Lonchura striata: one gene and its partner. The protein of the gene in region 2 purifies or fractionates together with the protein of the main gene of each other region. This does not show direct contact. Links are inferred from orthologs where the notes say so. Each region holds a gene or a part of one and is shown on either strand. Other genes may lie near its edges.

The links. Proteins that work in one complex are often made in the same cells at the same time.
Region 1: the proteins of CLNS1A (region 2) and GAR1 purify together in Homo sapiens (affinity purification with mass spectrometry; 3 studies listed by BioGRID and IntAct, counting the BioPlex papers as one, with this or other methods). This does not show direct contact. The link is inferred for Lonchura striata from reciprocal best matches to the Homo sapiens genes CLNS1A and GAR1.

Annotation. Positions count from the first base shown.
Region 1 is NC_134606.1:46,155,148-46,162,192, reverse strand, and holds the start of GAR1 (H/ACA ribonucleoprotein complex subunit 1), read left to right. Parts: upstream 1-4,024; 5' UTR 4,025-4,101; intron 4,102-4,111; exon of another isoform or gene 4,112-4,198; intron 4,199-5,310; 5' UTR 5,311-5,323; coding exon 5,324-5,501; intron 5,502-5,581; coding exon 5,582-5,736; intron 5,737-6,544; coding exon 6,545-6,604; intron 6,605-7,013; coding exon 7,014-7,045. Other genes in the region: CFI (complement factor I), read right to left, coding at 668-812, 1,481-1,799, 3,349-3,408. UniProt on the Homo sapiens protein: Required for ribosome biogenesis and telomere maintenance. Part of the H/ACA small nucleolar ribonucleoprotein (H/ACA snoRNP) complex, which catalyzes pseudouridylation of rRNA.
Region 2 is NC_134604.1:32,435,838-32,442,684, reverse strand, and holds the start of CLNS1A (methylosome subunit pICln), read left to right. Parts: upstream 1-3,832; 5' UTR 3,833-3,915; coding exon 3,916-4,034; intron 4,035-6,578; coding exon 6,579-6,715; intron 6,716-6,847. UniProt on the Homo sapiens protein: Involved in both the assembly of spliceosomal snRNPs and the methylation of Sm proteins.

The DNA.
Region 1 (7,045 bases), on a different chromosome or scaffold from region 2:
AGTTTTAGTTTTCTGGGGACTTTTTTTAGGTTTGGTTTTTTTTTTTTTTTGTAAGGTTGGGAAGTTAAATTACATGTATAGGTGTAAAATTATTAGGTACAGGATACAGAGGTACTTTTATGAGGAGCTGAATATGCAACTTGGGTTATCATTGTAGTCACAGGGAAAAGATCAAGCTGTGTGTGACTTCAGCCATCCCTGGGGCCAGAGAAAGCAGTGGCATGTGGGGTGAAGGAAAAAACCCCCATGTTTTGCTCCTTGTTAGTCTGGCTAATGCAAGTGGCAAAACAGAGCTGTACCCTGTTGTCAGTTGTCCTGACAAACCTTTCTCTGCCCACTGGTCATTGCTCAGAGCGATCTGGGGGTGGTCCATCTATGCATTTTCCCTAACACAGGCCTGAGAGAACACCTCCACATTGGTCTTCATCTTTATTTTAAAGCAAAGCAGTTATGGTTTGTATAGTTGTAGCCTGTAACAGAACACAGAAAACTGTGTTTTTGCTTTCACTCTCAGGTGTCAGTTTAAGAAGTTTTATCAGAAATTTGTAGCCAATACATCATTCATGAGTTTTCTGTCTTAACTGTTGGCTGTTACTGGCACCTATTTAAGCATCACTGCTTTTTCAAATCCCCTGCAGTTATCCAGAGATAAATTCCCCAAACTTACAACTCAAAGCCAAGGTGCCTGCAAGCCACATTTGCTTCATTCATACTCCATTCATTAGCACATACAAAACTGTCATCCTTATGATTCACGGGTTTTACTCGAAGCAAACTTGAATCTCCATGATCCAGATCAACTGAAAATGTTTCTTAAAAAATAAAAAAGAAAGAAATTTTTAAAATCCCCAAACAAAATCATATTATATAGGTATTATTATAGATATTATATTGTATTGTATATATTATATAGATGTATCTAATGGAAAGACAGCATAAAAACAAATCAGGACTAATTTTGTATTTAAAGCCAAAGTTCATATGGAAAGAACATTAGATTGGGAATCAGAAGGTTCAGGTATTATTCCTGAATTAGTTCTGAGGGTTGACTTTGTGTCTTTGAGCCTGCTAATTTCTCAGAATATGACAGTTCAAGGACAAATGAGGGTAATGGGTCCATAAGAGTATTTGAAGATCTATCAAGAACATGTTGCATTTTAGTCTAATGACCTTCTTTAGGGGATTTTTGATAACCAACCAGTAATACTTGGAAGCGAGAGGGCCACATCCTACTTCTATTATCTGTGTTGCAAAATGCCTGCAGCAGTCTGTGTAGCAAAACCAGCAGCAGGGTGACCAGGGCCTGTCAATCACTTTATTTTTTATGAAAATCAGCAGATACTGCCCATTTTCAGTGACACTTCATTTTTTGTTTCATGTTATTACTAGTGTGAGAAAATGAACAGACTTTCTGTAAATAGGGCAAGCATCTCCTCAGCCACCCCTGATGGATAAATTTCGGAAAAGGAGGTGTGAATACCTTCAGGCTTGCATGTTCCCTTGTGCAGAAACTTTGCTTTGGGTTGCTGACACTCATAGCTCTTCAGCTGACAGTAAGTACGGAAGGTCTTGCCATTGGCAGAACAAACTGCAGAGCCATTCTTTGGGCACTGGTAGGGAAGCTTGCAGAGGCATTTTCCCTCCACACATCGTTCCCATGGGTGACAAAAAACTTTCCTACAGGACTTGTGGGTGTATTGGTTGCCCAAGCATTCTTCTATGAGGTAGTTGTCTTGGTCAGCTGGTTGGGCAGGTTTAACCTGTTGAAGGTGGTTTTCTGCAGCCTTAGATGCTGCATTCTGCAAGGCACACAAAAAATAATTTAAATAAAAGCAAGATTAGGGACTGCACCAAGAGTTTTGCATCCCTTCACTGACCTCAGCAAAGTGCCCATTTATAAGCCTTTTCCTGTGTAATCAATAGTTCTTAAATACCATTTATGGTGTTTGTTCCCTTGTCTTTTGCCAACTCAACCTTCTCAGTTTTTCTGAACTATTTTTTTCTTTTTGGATTATTTACCTGGTGTGATCTTCACTCTTACTGATCTGCCACAAACTTTATACTCTTTACTTTTCAAACATCAGCTGAAGTGCACAGCAGAGTAGAAACATTTTTAAAGGCATTGGTTTATAACACATCCCAGCAATTGGACTGCAAGCAGATTAAAGCATAAAGGAATTTAAGCCCCAGAGAAAGAGAATAGCAATTTGTTTGGTTTTTTCTCCTAAGATTTGTTTTATTGGCCTCGTTGACTTTAGATTTAAATATCATCTGTAAATATTTATGAACGACTTACTAGCAAATGACTGTATAATGATTTGTTTTGCAGAGCCCACGTGACTGTTCAAGTAAAAAGTACCTCAAGTATCTGAAAGCAATTTGAAAATCAAGTGCTCATCCTTATCAGCGTTTTTCTTGTCTTGCACAGCAGAAGGTTTGCAATGTGGATGCTTCCATCACTGGACTGCAGGTGCAGATTGTGCCCCTCCCTCTGATGCCCTCAGGGTGAGCAGCACCTTGTTTGTGCAGTCCTCTGCTGACTTCTGTGTGCTGCCTGAGTGCTTTTGCTTACTAAGGTCTGTGGGTAGGAAGAATCTTTGAACATGGAAAATATTTATGGATGGCCTCTGTGTAAAAATGGGAGAAAAACAGTCCTCAAATGTGATTTATCAGTTTTGGCTGTGTCAACTGGATCAATAGAGCTGAAGTTTAAAGTTCTCATGAAATCCTGCCCACAGTAAAGTCAGGGAGGATGTAGCTGGGGCAGAATTCAATATCTCTCCTTTTCATGGCTGTATAATCTCATTAAATCCTTCCTGCTGTTCTTGGGCCAGTAGAATCCAAACTGGGAACCAGATCCACCTTGGCACAACTCCCATATTGTGCGAGGTGTTCCTCCTCATGGGGAACAGGTGCTGATTTTTATCTCAGAACTTCTCTGAAAGGCTCAGATTGGCTTTCCTGGACAGTTCTGCCTGGAGAAAATCTGCAGGAAACCTGCTGGCAATAGGAGACTACCATGCTGCCATATTACAAGACTGCAATCCCATTTCTCAAAAAAGGGAGGTGGGGAAAATTGTAGCACCTTTCTGTGGTCAGCCATGCTTGCAAATTTGGCACAGGATCCTGATTAAAATCTTTTCCACAAACCTGTTAGCATAAGCCCCAGTAGAATCAAAACATTAAAGAGAAATAGCAAACTTCAAACACTCAGGCTGGGTTAAAACGAATGAAGCACAAATACCATGAAAGGAACTTTAAAAAAATAAATTGGTTTTGCTTTTGTAACAATAAACTGTTTATTAAACGTTTTAAAAAGTTATGCCAACACAATAAAACGTATCTTACCTCTGATCCACAAAGACAAAAGAGACACAAGAAAACCAAGCAAATTAGGAGCATTCGCATGATGAAACTTTATCTCCCTTCCTAGACAAATTCCTCTGGCTGTGATTCTTTTGAATGTCAGCTGTTAGATTTGGGTTTAATTTTTAACCATTAGAAAAATATTTTCAAGCGTGTTTAGAAATAAAGTACAGGAGCCTCAACTATTAACCGATAAATCTGATCTCTTCGAAAGATCATGCCTTAACTGGTTTTATCGCAAGTGGATGACGAGGTAACAAAAGCCAAGCCCTTGAAGTAAATGATTAAAGGGAAGCGCTTGTTGGGGTTGCACTTTTCTTTGCGCAGAGGAGTCCGATCGATCCATGGCGCCGGCCGCCCTGAGTGCAGGCGCTCCCGCCCGCCAGGTTACCCTGCAGGGCGAGTGCCGGCGCTCCCGCCCGCCAGGCTACCCTGCAGGGCGAGTGCAGGCGCTCCCGCCCGCCAGGTTACCCTGCAGGGCGAGTGCCGGCGCTCCCGCCCGCCAGGCTACCCTGCAGGGCGAGTGCAGGCGCTCCCGCCCGCCAGGCTACCCTGCAGGGCGAGTGTGCTCCCCACACGGCTCCGTGCCCAGCCCCTATCCCTGGCCCGCCGCTCCCTCGGGAGCGCGGGACAACTACCGGGCACGGGAGCCGCTTTGCGACAGCGCCCTTTCATTTACGGCAGCAGCCCCGTTTGCGGCAGCGCGCTGTTTCCGGCGGCGGCGCGCACGTGCAGGTACGTCCCGCGCGGGAGCCGCTGCCGTGTCCGTCTGTCTGTCCGTCCGTCCGTCATCCCCCAGGGAATGGCCCCGGCAGCCGCGGTCCCCCCGCCTGTGAGCTGATAAACAATCCCGAGGGCCCTGTGAGGCGCTGCGGGTGCGCGCCCGGGCAGTGCGGCCTCCCGAGGGAGCCTCCCGAGGTTTAACGGGGCCGAGAGGAAGGGCCGGGACCACCCCTGATGCCAGCACGGGCAGTGAGGGATGGACAGAGGGAGAGCAGCCCTGCCGAGAAGGACTTGGGGTGCTGGTGGTGACAGGACGGACATGGCCCAGCAATGGAGTCATGACTCACAGCCCAGGGAGCCAAACCTGTCCTGGGCTGCATCCAGAGCAGCGTGGGCAGCAGGGACAGGGAGGGGATTCTGCCCCTCTGCTCTGCTCTGCTCTGCAGAGACCCCACCTGCAGGGCTGCATCAGCTCCAGGGTGCCCAGCACAGAAGAGACGTGGAGTTCCAGAGGAGGCCCCGAGGGTGGTCACAGGCTGGAGCACTTCTCCTCTACCTTCTCTGCTTGGCCTGAGAGTGGGGATTCTTTAGCCTGGAGAACAGAAGGCTCTAGGAACATTTTACAGCAGCCTTCCAGTGCCTGAAGGAGGCTACAGCAGAGCTCGAGAGAGACTTTGTACAAGGGCACATAGGGATAGAGTAAGAGAAGATAGTTTTAAACTGAAAGAGGGTGGGTTGAGATGGGATATTAAGAAAAAATTCTATACTGTGAGAGTGGTGAGGCACTGGAACAGGTCACCTAGAGAAGCTGTGGGTGCCCCATCCCAGGGGGTGTTCAAGGCCAGGGTGGATGGGCCTCTGAGCAGCCTGTGGAATGTGTCACTGCACACAGCAGAGGGGTTGGAAGTAGGTGACCCTTAGGTTTTCTTCCAACCTGAACTATTCTGTGATTTTCTTACTTTGTGCCATTTATGGGGACTGTCATCAGCCCTTATACAGATGAGTGAAAAAAGTGCTGGTCACTGCTAGTCACTTTTTGCAGTTGGCTGTTGCAGTGGATGACATCTTAAGTATAAACTTGATTTTTCACTTGTGAGGACTGAAAACAACACACCATTAAATTAACAAACCAGGCTGACAGGACACTACAATTTGTACAGCAAATCAAATGTGACACGTCTTTTGTATCTTAAACGACTGATTTTTTTGTTCACAATGTAGGAAACAGTAGAGAATGTCTTTTCGTGGAAGAGGAGGTGGAGGAGGAAGAGGAGGTGGCTTCAGCCGTGGAGGAGGTGGTGGTGACAGAGGTGGCTTTAACCGTGGTGGTCGAGGTGGCTTTGGACGGGGAGGTGGAAGAGGAGGCTTCAACAGAGGAGGATATGACCAGGGCCCTCCAGAAAGGGTAGTTTGTAAGTTACATGGAGAAACTTTATTTATTTTATTTAGATTGTCTGCTTCAGCTCTTTAGCTTGTTTGTTCTTTATTTCAGTGTTGGGAGAGTTCATGCATCCCTGTGAAGATGACATAGTTTGTAAATGTAAAACAGAAGAAAACAAGGTGCCTTATTTCAATGCCCCAGTGTACCTGGATAATAAGGAGCAGATTGGCAAAGTGGATGAAATATTTGGACAGCTGAGAGACTTTGTATCCTTTAAAAAAATTGATTGGATATGAAATGGGATTTCTCTAGGATTTTAAAATAGTTCAGGGTTGTATGTGAGGCTTGCTGCAGCTGTAGGTGCTTCATTCACACTAAGTGCGTATCTTACAGCTTTTTTGATATGACTGAATACTTGAAGTCAACCAGAGATTTTCACTCTTTAGCAGTACTGATGATGTGTTTTGGATCCATGGTGGTTCAAGTTGTTACTTTTTCTGCCTAACTGACCAAATTTTCTGCTGTAGGTTACTAAGCCATAACAGAGTTGGATCAAGGGCCTTGCGGATTTTTGTACATTAGGGGACCTTGCTTATGCTCCAGCACATTATTTAATTACAAAGTGAGTTTATACTAAGATGACCTGTTGCTCATTTTCCATAAAAGTGGGATATACCAGGACATCTGCCCATAAAAGTGGGATGTGCCAGGACATCTCTGGCAAAGCCAGCCTGACACAGAGACATTGGGTGCATTCTGTTGTCACTGCCAGGTGGACAGAATCCATGACAAAAGCAGGATAGCTGGGGGAGTAACCTTGTAACACGTCAGTTAGGACTCAGCCTGTGTTGGTTGGTTGAGCACCAGTCACTAGCTATGTGCATTTTCCTCTCCCACATTAAATGTGAAGTAAAATGTGCAGGTTTAAATCACTTCTAATTGCAAATGTGATGAAATTTAGCTGAATTTATGAAATACTAACTTAGAAAATATCTGAATGTTCCTTTCATATACTGATCAAAATCACAGTTTTTAGTGTTTTATTACTGCAATGCTCCTTAAAGAAACCAACAGTATTTTTCAGTGAAACTGTCTGAGAACATGAAAGCCTCTTCATTTAAAAAAATGCAAAAGGTAAGTCAATCTCAATAACAAAATTTTACTGAATGTCATCAGTTAGCTAAGTCTAATTTGTCAGCAGATAATAAAAGCTTTATTAGGTATTTAATAACTTTAAAAGCAGCTTGTCCTATGTAAGCGTAGGAATTAAGTTCCTCATCCTTTCTAGTTTTGTGTTTGCCACATTATTCCTTCTCCCTGCCCCATGAGAAGAGATGCAATAAAATCACACAAATATCATCTATATTTTAGCAGCTTTTTAATTCTGGGGTTTACTTCTTGTGTGCTTTCTCTATTTGGCTTTTTGCAGAGAATAGTTTGACATAATGGGATAAGACCAAATTGTGGATATTTGTAAAGAGAGATATTAATGTGCTTCTTAGTCTTGGTGTTTTGAAAGCCTAATGGAATTCTCTTCCTGCAGTTTTACATTGATCCAGCAAAGCTGCTACCTCT
Region 2 (6,847 bases):
CTTTTCTGTGTGAATTGCTGAAGCCTGTCAGTCTTTATTTTGAATGTATCTGTGGCTACAGTCAAGCTGCTGTGTGTTTTTGTGTGATGAGAAATTGTTGTGAAATTCATCCTTTTGCTCCAAATCCACTGCCAAAACTTTACACTTCCATTTTTAACAGATTCTGGGCATCTAAGTCTGAACTGGCCACCTTATGGCAGGCAGTGCTGTGGAGAGAAACAAGCTCCTCTGGATGGTGGCTCCTGCCTTCTGTGCTAAGGTGACAAGGTACCTGCTGCTCTCCATTGCCTCCGAACACAGCCCTGGTTAACTAAATCACTGTTGGACACCCAGTGTTCAGACAGCACTGGGGCTGGATCCGAATTCATTTCTTAAAGCTCTTAGAGCCGAAGGAGGGTTTTCAGGTAATGCCATTCTGTTCCATTCTAACTTAGAGGAAACATCTGCCTTCCCTCTCTAAGCTTCTCGTAGGTGCAGCACTCAGTACTCTGGTGTGAAGTGTCTGGATTGTGTAAATAAGGAAGATGTGGGTTTCTCCTCCTCTTTTAATGCCTCATCCTCAAAACCAGTTTTCTGCCTGGGCTTAAACTATCCCTTTCCCCACTTTTTTGGAAGAGTGGTGTGTCACAGAAGACTTGCATTTGCATGCAGGAAGAGAAATAAACTCCGTATTACTCCACTGCAGCAACTTCAACCAGCAGTAATCCAACCCCAACCACTCAGAAATTTTAATTTATAACAACCTAAAGTTGTTCTTTACTTTGGAGTTAACTACAAAGGTGGTGAGAACTCTCTGTGGCTGATATGACAACCACATTAGGTAAGAGGGGCTGAACATCAACAGGAGCATTGCTTTATAGCCCCTAAGTGCAGTGAATGGTATTTCCATGTATTTGGATCTCTTCCCACCAGCTGCCATAGTCTGATCTGTGTTCTTGGATGAACTGCAAATTTTTGTTTCCAGTTGACCACTTGTCTTGGTGTGGCAAACTTGAAAATTATTGATAACTTCCCCTTTTCTCATCTCCTGTTGCCTCTGTTGGTTTTTTCAAGCTATTCCAGCAGTGCTTACATATCACTTCACTGTGAAATTTGCTTTCATTTTGGTCTAGGTAATTATTTGTATGAGTAACAATTATTTGCGTTATTATTTGTGTAATTAAAATCCAAAATGGGTAGGCATGGTTGGCCAGCTTTCCAAAACATTGTCAATACCTCAGACTAAGAGAACCATGTTATGTTCTGGTCTTTGCTATCCAAGACCATAGATAGGAAAGTCCAGAGAAAGGAAAGATGGAGACCTAGTCTCATTAATTGGCTCATGTTTGTGAGAACCTGCGTTTGCACACAGGTAGCTAAATTACTCCTAAAAAGTAAATTTTAAACTGATTAAAGGGAAGGTTAACTCCCATGACAAGCTAACAACTTGCTTTTGATATGTTGCTATGGCAGGAGCATTTGCCATCCTGACAAGTAGAGAGAATGGATGTTTGCATTGATGCTGTCTCACTGATGGCATTAGCAGAAGCATCCCCTGGCAGAGATGTACTTCACTGATGCATCAGTAATCGCTGTTTCTCACTGCAGTAGCAAGAGAAATGGGGTAAATCCAGGGAAGAAGCAGGACCAGTGCTCATGAAGGGGTGGCAGCCTTCCCATCCCTGAAATGTGCTGTCCTGCAACACCGCCCGCTCGCCAGGTCCTGCAGTAGTGTCAGGTGCTGACCCCAATTCATCACTGCTGAGAAAATCAACTGGATACCCTTTAAGCAATTCAGGTACTTGTGATTTTCTTTTTCTTCTCCATGTGCATATATGAGACGTTAGGTGGTGGTCACCCACCAGAATTTCCCCTTCCAGCATCCAACAATGGTAATTGTGAATCTGCTGTATTTCTTTGTTATTGTTATCTTTCCCTCTGTCACCTGGGCAATGAGACTTACAGGTTAAAATAGGTATGGCAGAGATCAAGAAGCATTTGGAAAAAGCTCTCAAGCACAAGGTGTGATTGTTGTGGTGTCCTGTGCAGGGCTGGCAGATGGACTGGATGATCAATGTGGGTCCCTTCCAATTCAGGATACTCAATGGTTCTGTGACTGCTCTTGGTGCTGTCGATTATAGAATCTGAACGTTTTGGGTTGGAAGGGACATTAAAGACATGTTTCAACCATCTTGTTCCAAACCCCCTGCTGTGGGCAGGGACAGCTTCCACTAGATCAGATTGCTCAGAGCCCCATCCAACCTGTCCTTGAACACTTCCAGGGATGGGGCAGCCACACCTTCTCTGGGCAACCTGTGCCAGTGCCTCACCACCCTCACAGGGAAGAATTCCTTCACAGTATCTAATCTCACTCCGCCCTCTGTCAATTTGAATCTCTTTCCCCTTGTCCAAAGTCCCTCTCCAGCTTTCTTGTATCCCCTTTAGGTCCTGGAAGGAGCTGTACGGTCTCCCTGGAGCCTCCTCTTCGGAGAACATCTCTCAGCCTGTCTCCACAGCAGAGGCGCTCCAGCCCTCAGCGGTCACCTCAGCGCTGCCCTTGGCTCCTCTTTTCCACTCAAAGACGACCTCACTCGGACCCGCCCGCGGCACCCCGAGCCGCGGCCGCACCGGGCCCCGCGGAACGGGAGCGGAGCCGTGTCATCCCGGGGCGGAGCCGTGACATCCCGGGCGGAGCCGTGTCATCCCGGGGCGGAGCCGTGACATCCCGGGCGGAGCCGTGACATCCCGGGGCGGAGCCGTGACATCCCGGGGCGGAGCCGCGGCATCCCGGGGCGGAGCCGTGACATCCCGGGGCGGAGCCGTGGCGTCCCGGGCGGAGCCGTGACATCCCGGGGCGGTGCCATCGCATCCCGGGCGGAGCCGTGACATCCCGGGGCGGTGCCATCGCATCCCGGGCGGAGCCGTGACATCCCGGGCGGAGCCGTGGCGTCCCGGGGCGGAGCCGTGACATCCCGGGGCGGTGCCATGGCATCCCGGGGCGGAGCTGTGGCGTCCCGGGGCGGAGCCGTGACATCCCGGGGCGGTGCCATGGCGTCCCGGGGCGGTGCCATCGCGCCCCGGGCGGAGCCGTGGCGTCCCGGGCGGAGCCGTGGCATCCCGGGGCGGAGCCGTGACATCCCGGGGCGGAGCCGTGACATCCCGGGGCGGTGCCATGGCGTCCCGGGGCGGTGCCGTGACATCCCGGGGCGGAGCCGTGGCGTCCCGGGCGGAGCCGTGGCGTCCCGGGCGGAGCCGTGGCATCCCGGGGCGGAGCCGCGGCATCCCGGGGCGGAGCCGTGACATCCCGGGGCGGAGCCGTGGCGTCCCGGGCGGAGCCGTGACATCCCGGGGCGGTGCCATCGCATCCCGGGCGGAGCCGTGACATCCCGGGCGGAGCCGTGGCGTCCCGGGGCGGTGCCATGGCGTCCCGGGGCGGAGCCGTGGCGTCCCGGGCGGAGCCGTGGCGTCCCGGGGCGGTGCCATCGCGTCCCGGGCGGAGCCGCGGCGCCCCGGGGCGGAGCCGTGGCGTCCCGGGCGGAGCCGTGGCGTCCCGGGCGGAGCCGTGACATCCCGGGGCGGAGCCGCGGCGCCCCGGGCGGAGCCGTGGCGTCCCGGGCGGAGCCATCGCGTCCCGGGCGGAGCCGTGACATCCCGGGGCGGAGCCGTGGCGTCCCGGGCGGAGCCGTGGCGTCCCGGGCGGAGCCGTGACATCCCGGGGCGGAGCCGCGGCGCCCCGGGCGGAGCCGTGGCGTCCCGGGCGGAGCCGTGACATCCCGGGGCGGAGCCGTGACATCCCGGGGCGGAGCCGTGGCATCCCGGGGCGGAGCCATCGCGTCCCGGGCGGAGCCGCGGCGGCCCGGGCGGAACGGCATCACGGAGCGGCGCGTTCCGCTTCCGGCGGCCGCGGCGGTGCAGCAGGGCGGCGGCGGCGGCGCCATGAGCTTCCTCAAGCGCTTCCCGCCGCCGTCCGACGGCGTCCGCCACCAGCAGCCGGACACGGAGGCGCTGCTGGCGGGGCGCAGCCTGGGCTCCGGCACGCTGTACATCGCCGAGAGGTGCGGGGACACCGGGCCGGGAGCCCTCGGGCGCTGCCCCGGCCCTGAGGCCCCGGGATGTGGGGGAGGCCTCGGGGGCTGCGGGGCTCTGCGGGGCGTCCCGCGGCTCCGCTCGCTTTAAAGCAGGCAAGAGGCAGCGGTACCCGCTGGCTGGGGCATCCAGGGCCGGGCTGGATGGGGCTTGGAGCGACCTGGTCTAGTGGGAGGTGTCCCTGGCCAAGGCAGGGGCTTGGAACGACAGGGCTGTAAGGTTCCTCCCCACCAAACCGTTTTGTAAAACTCAGCATGGTGGAGAAATGTGCACTTGCAGCCCTGAAAGCCAGTTGTGTCCTGGGCCACAGCAAAAGCAGCGTGGCAGCTGGGCAAGAGAGGGAATTCTGCCCCACGGCTTTTGTGAGACTCCACCTGGAGCGCTCTATCCAGCACGGGAATCGCCAGCTAAAAGGACCTGGAAAGCTTGGAGCAAGCCCAGCAGACACCACACAGTTGATGAGGGGACTGGAGCACCTCTTCTGTGAAGACGGGCTGAGAAAGTTGTGTGGGGACCTCATGGCAACCTCCCAGTATCAGAATGGGCACGCGGGGAGGGCACAGAGGGGCTCTTTGACAGGAACTGTAGTGACAGGACAAGGAGGAATGGCTTCAGACTGAAAAAGAGCGCTAGATTGGTTTTTAGGAGAAAATTCCTTACTGTGAGCAGGGTGAGACCCTGGCACAGGTGGCCCAAAGAAACATTGCATGTCCCATTCTTGGAAGTGTTCAAGGCCAGGTTGGTTGTGGCTCCGAGCATCCTGGTGTACTGGAAGGTGTCCCTGCCCAAGGTAATGGATTGGAACTAGATGATCTTTCAGGTCTTTTCCAACCCAAACCATTCTATAATTAAAACCATGGCAACTCTCCTCTTTTAACAGGGGAGTAGACGGGGCTGGTTGGTTTCTGCTTTTAAGAACTACTCTGGTTCTGTGAAGTCTTTCATGTTGCATTAATCACATGGAGACTGTTTTTACCAGGCAGGAATTAGTCTAGTTATTCTGAAAGATGTTATCTGAGCTCTTTATGGTCTCCTTTCAGTTCTCCCTGCATTTTATAGCTCAGGGGGACAGCTTGATAATTAAAACCATGTAATTTTCTTTAACCATGGAAAAGTACTCATAATAGATTCTGTAACTGAAGAGCATTGTTGGAACAAAAACATAATTTAAAATGTGCACTTTTAAAAACCTCAGACTAGGAAACTTTTATGAAATGGCCATTATTGTTGGAGGAGCTTTTGCCCCATCAGAGCTTATTAATGCTGTGTTGGAGAGGAATCTCTCTGCATATTTGTTCACTGTTTTATTTAGTTTGGTTACAGCTACCAGGACTTCTGTTTGTGGGGTATCTGCTCTGAGGATGTATAATGTTGTGTTTCCTTGTAAGTTGCTTTCAGTAGACTTTAGTGTGAGGCGACTGCAGGTCTGCTAGTTTCCATGTATTTCAGTTGCACCACAGAGGTTTCACTAGAGTCTCTTGTTGGGATGAACAGAAAACACCAGTGTTTGCAGAAGTGCCATGGGAGAACAGGGTATCCAGGAGCATAATGTGGCTCTTGATCCATGTAGTGACTCTCCACCAGCAGCTGTAAACATTGAGGACTGGATAGTTGAGGCTAGGAAATAAACTCCTTGCTCCCACTGTACTAGCTTTTGCTCTCAGCCAGATTTTCTAATACCAGGAGTCTTCTGTGAGCTTTCCATTGGTTTTGTTCCACCACAAAAGCTTGTGAATGCTGAGTTTTGCACATGGTGGAGGTCTTGCTTTCTGGCACTGAGTATTTCTGTTCACTGTGTGACATCATTGATTACAGGCACCCAAATCTAGTTTGAGTTTGATTTCTCAGTATGTAGAAAGATGTTGATTGTTCTGATATGAAGGAGGCAGCATCCTGGGGGTGACAACCTGTGCTGTCCCATGCTGTGGTTAGGGATGACAGCAAAAATGGGGAAAGCAGAGGCTATAGCACATAAATTGTGACTGGAGGAATACCCATAACCTGGCTCTGCTGATCACAGAACTGGCTGTTTTCTGTCTACAGGCTATACCCACATCAGATCTATAATTCCCTAGGAATTATTATGTCACTGACTTGCCTTTCGGTGTTCTTTGTTTTCCTCTTTGGAAAACCACATTTAATAGCTTGAATTACAAATCATCTGAACCTCTGTAGTTGACTTTGGAATGCTAGATACCTGCAGGGAGAAGAAAATGGAGACGCAGGGAGGAAAATTCAGCATTTAGTGCAAATGAGATAAAGTTGTGATGGGTTTAGAGTTCTTAGCTTCACATTCTTTCAGCAAAGGTGTCTTTTACCTCAGCCATCAATTAATGCGGTTGCAAAGACCTGTTCAGGCAGGTCCAGGACCGTGTATGCCTGCAGAGTGGGCCAAGTGCCTTGTCCACAATTACTCATGTTTTGGGGGTGGTTTGCTTTTCTGCAAGCTTGAATCAGATACTGTCCTCCGTTAATTTCTAACTTTCTAAATTCCTCTTTTCCTCCCTCATTAGTCGCTTATCCTGGCTGGAAAACTCCGGAGTTGGCTTCTCCTTGGATTACCCCACTATAAGTTTGCACGCCGTCTCCAGGGACCCGAGTGCCTACCCAAGGGAGCATTTATACGTCATGGTGAACGCCAAGTTCGAAGGTAAGGAGTGTTGCTTGCTGCTCCCACACAGTCCTGGGTGACAGGATTTCCTCCTCAGTAGGAGGAAATGTTGGTTTTAAGTAATTGCTTGTATTTTCTTTTTTATTTTCCTGAAGGATAGTTACTGTAGAA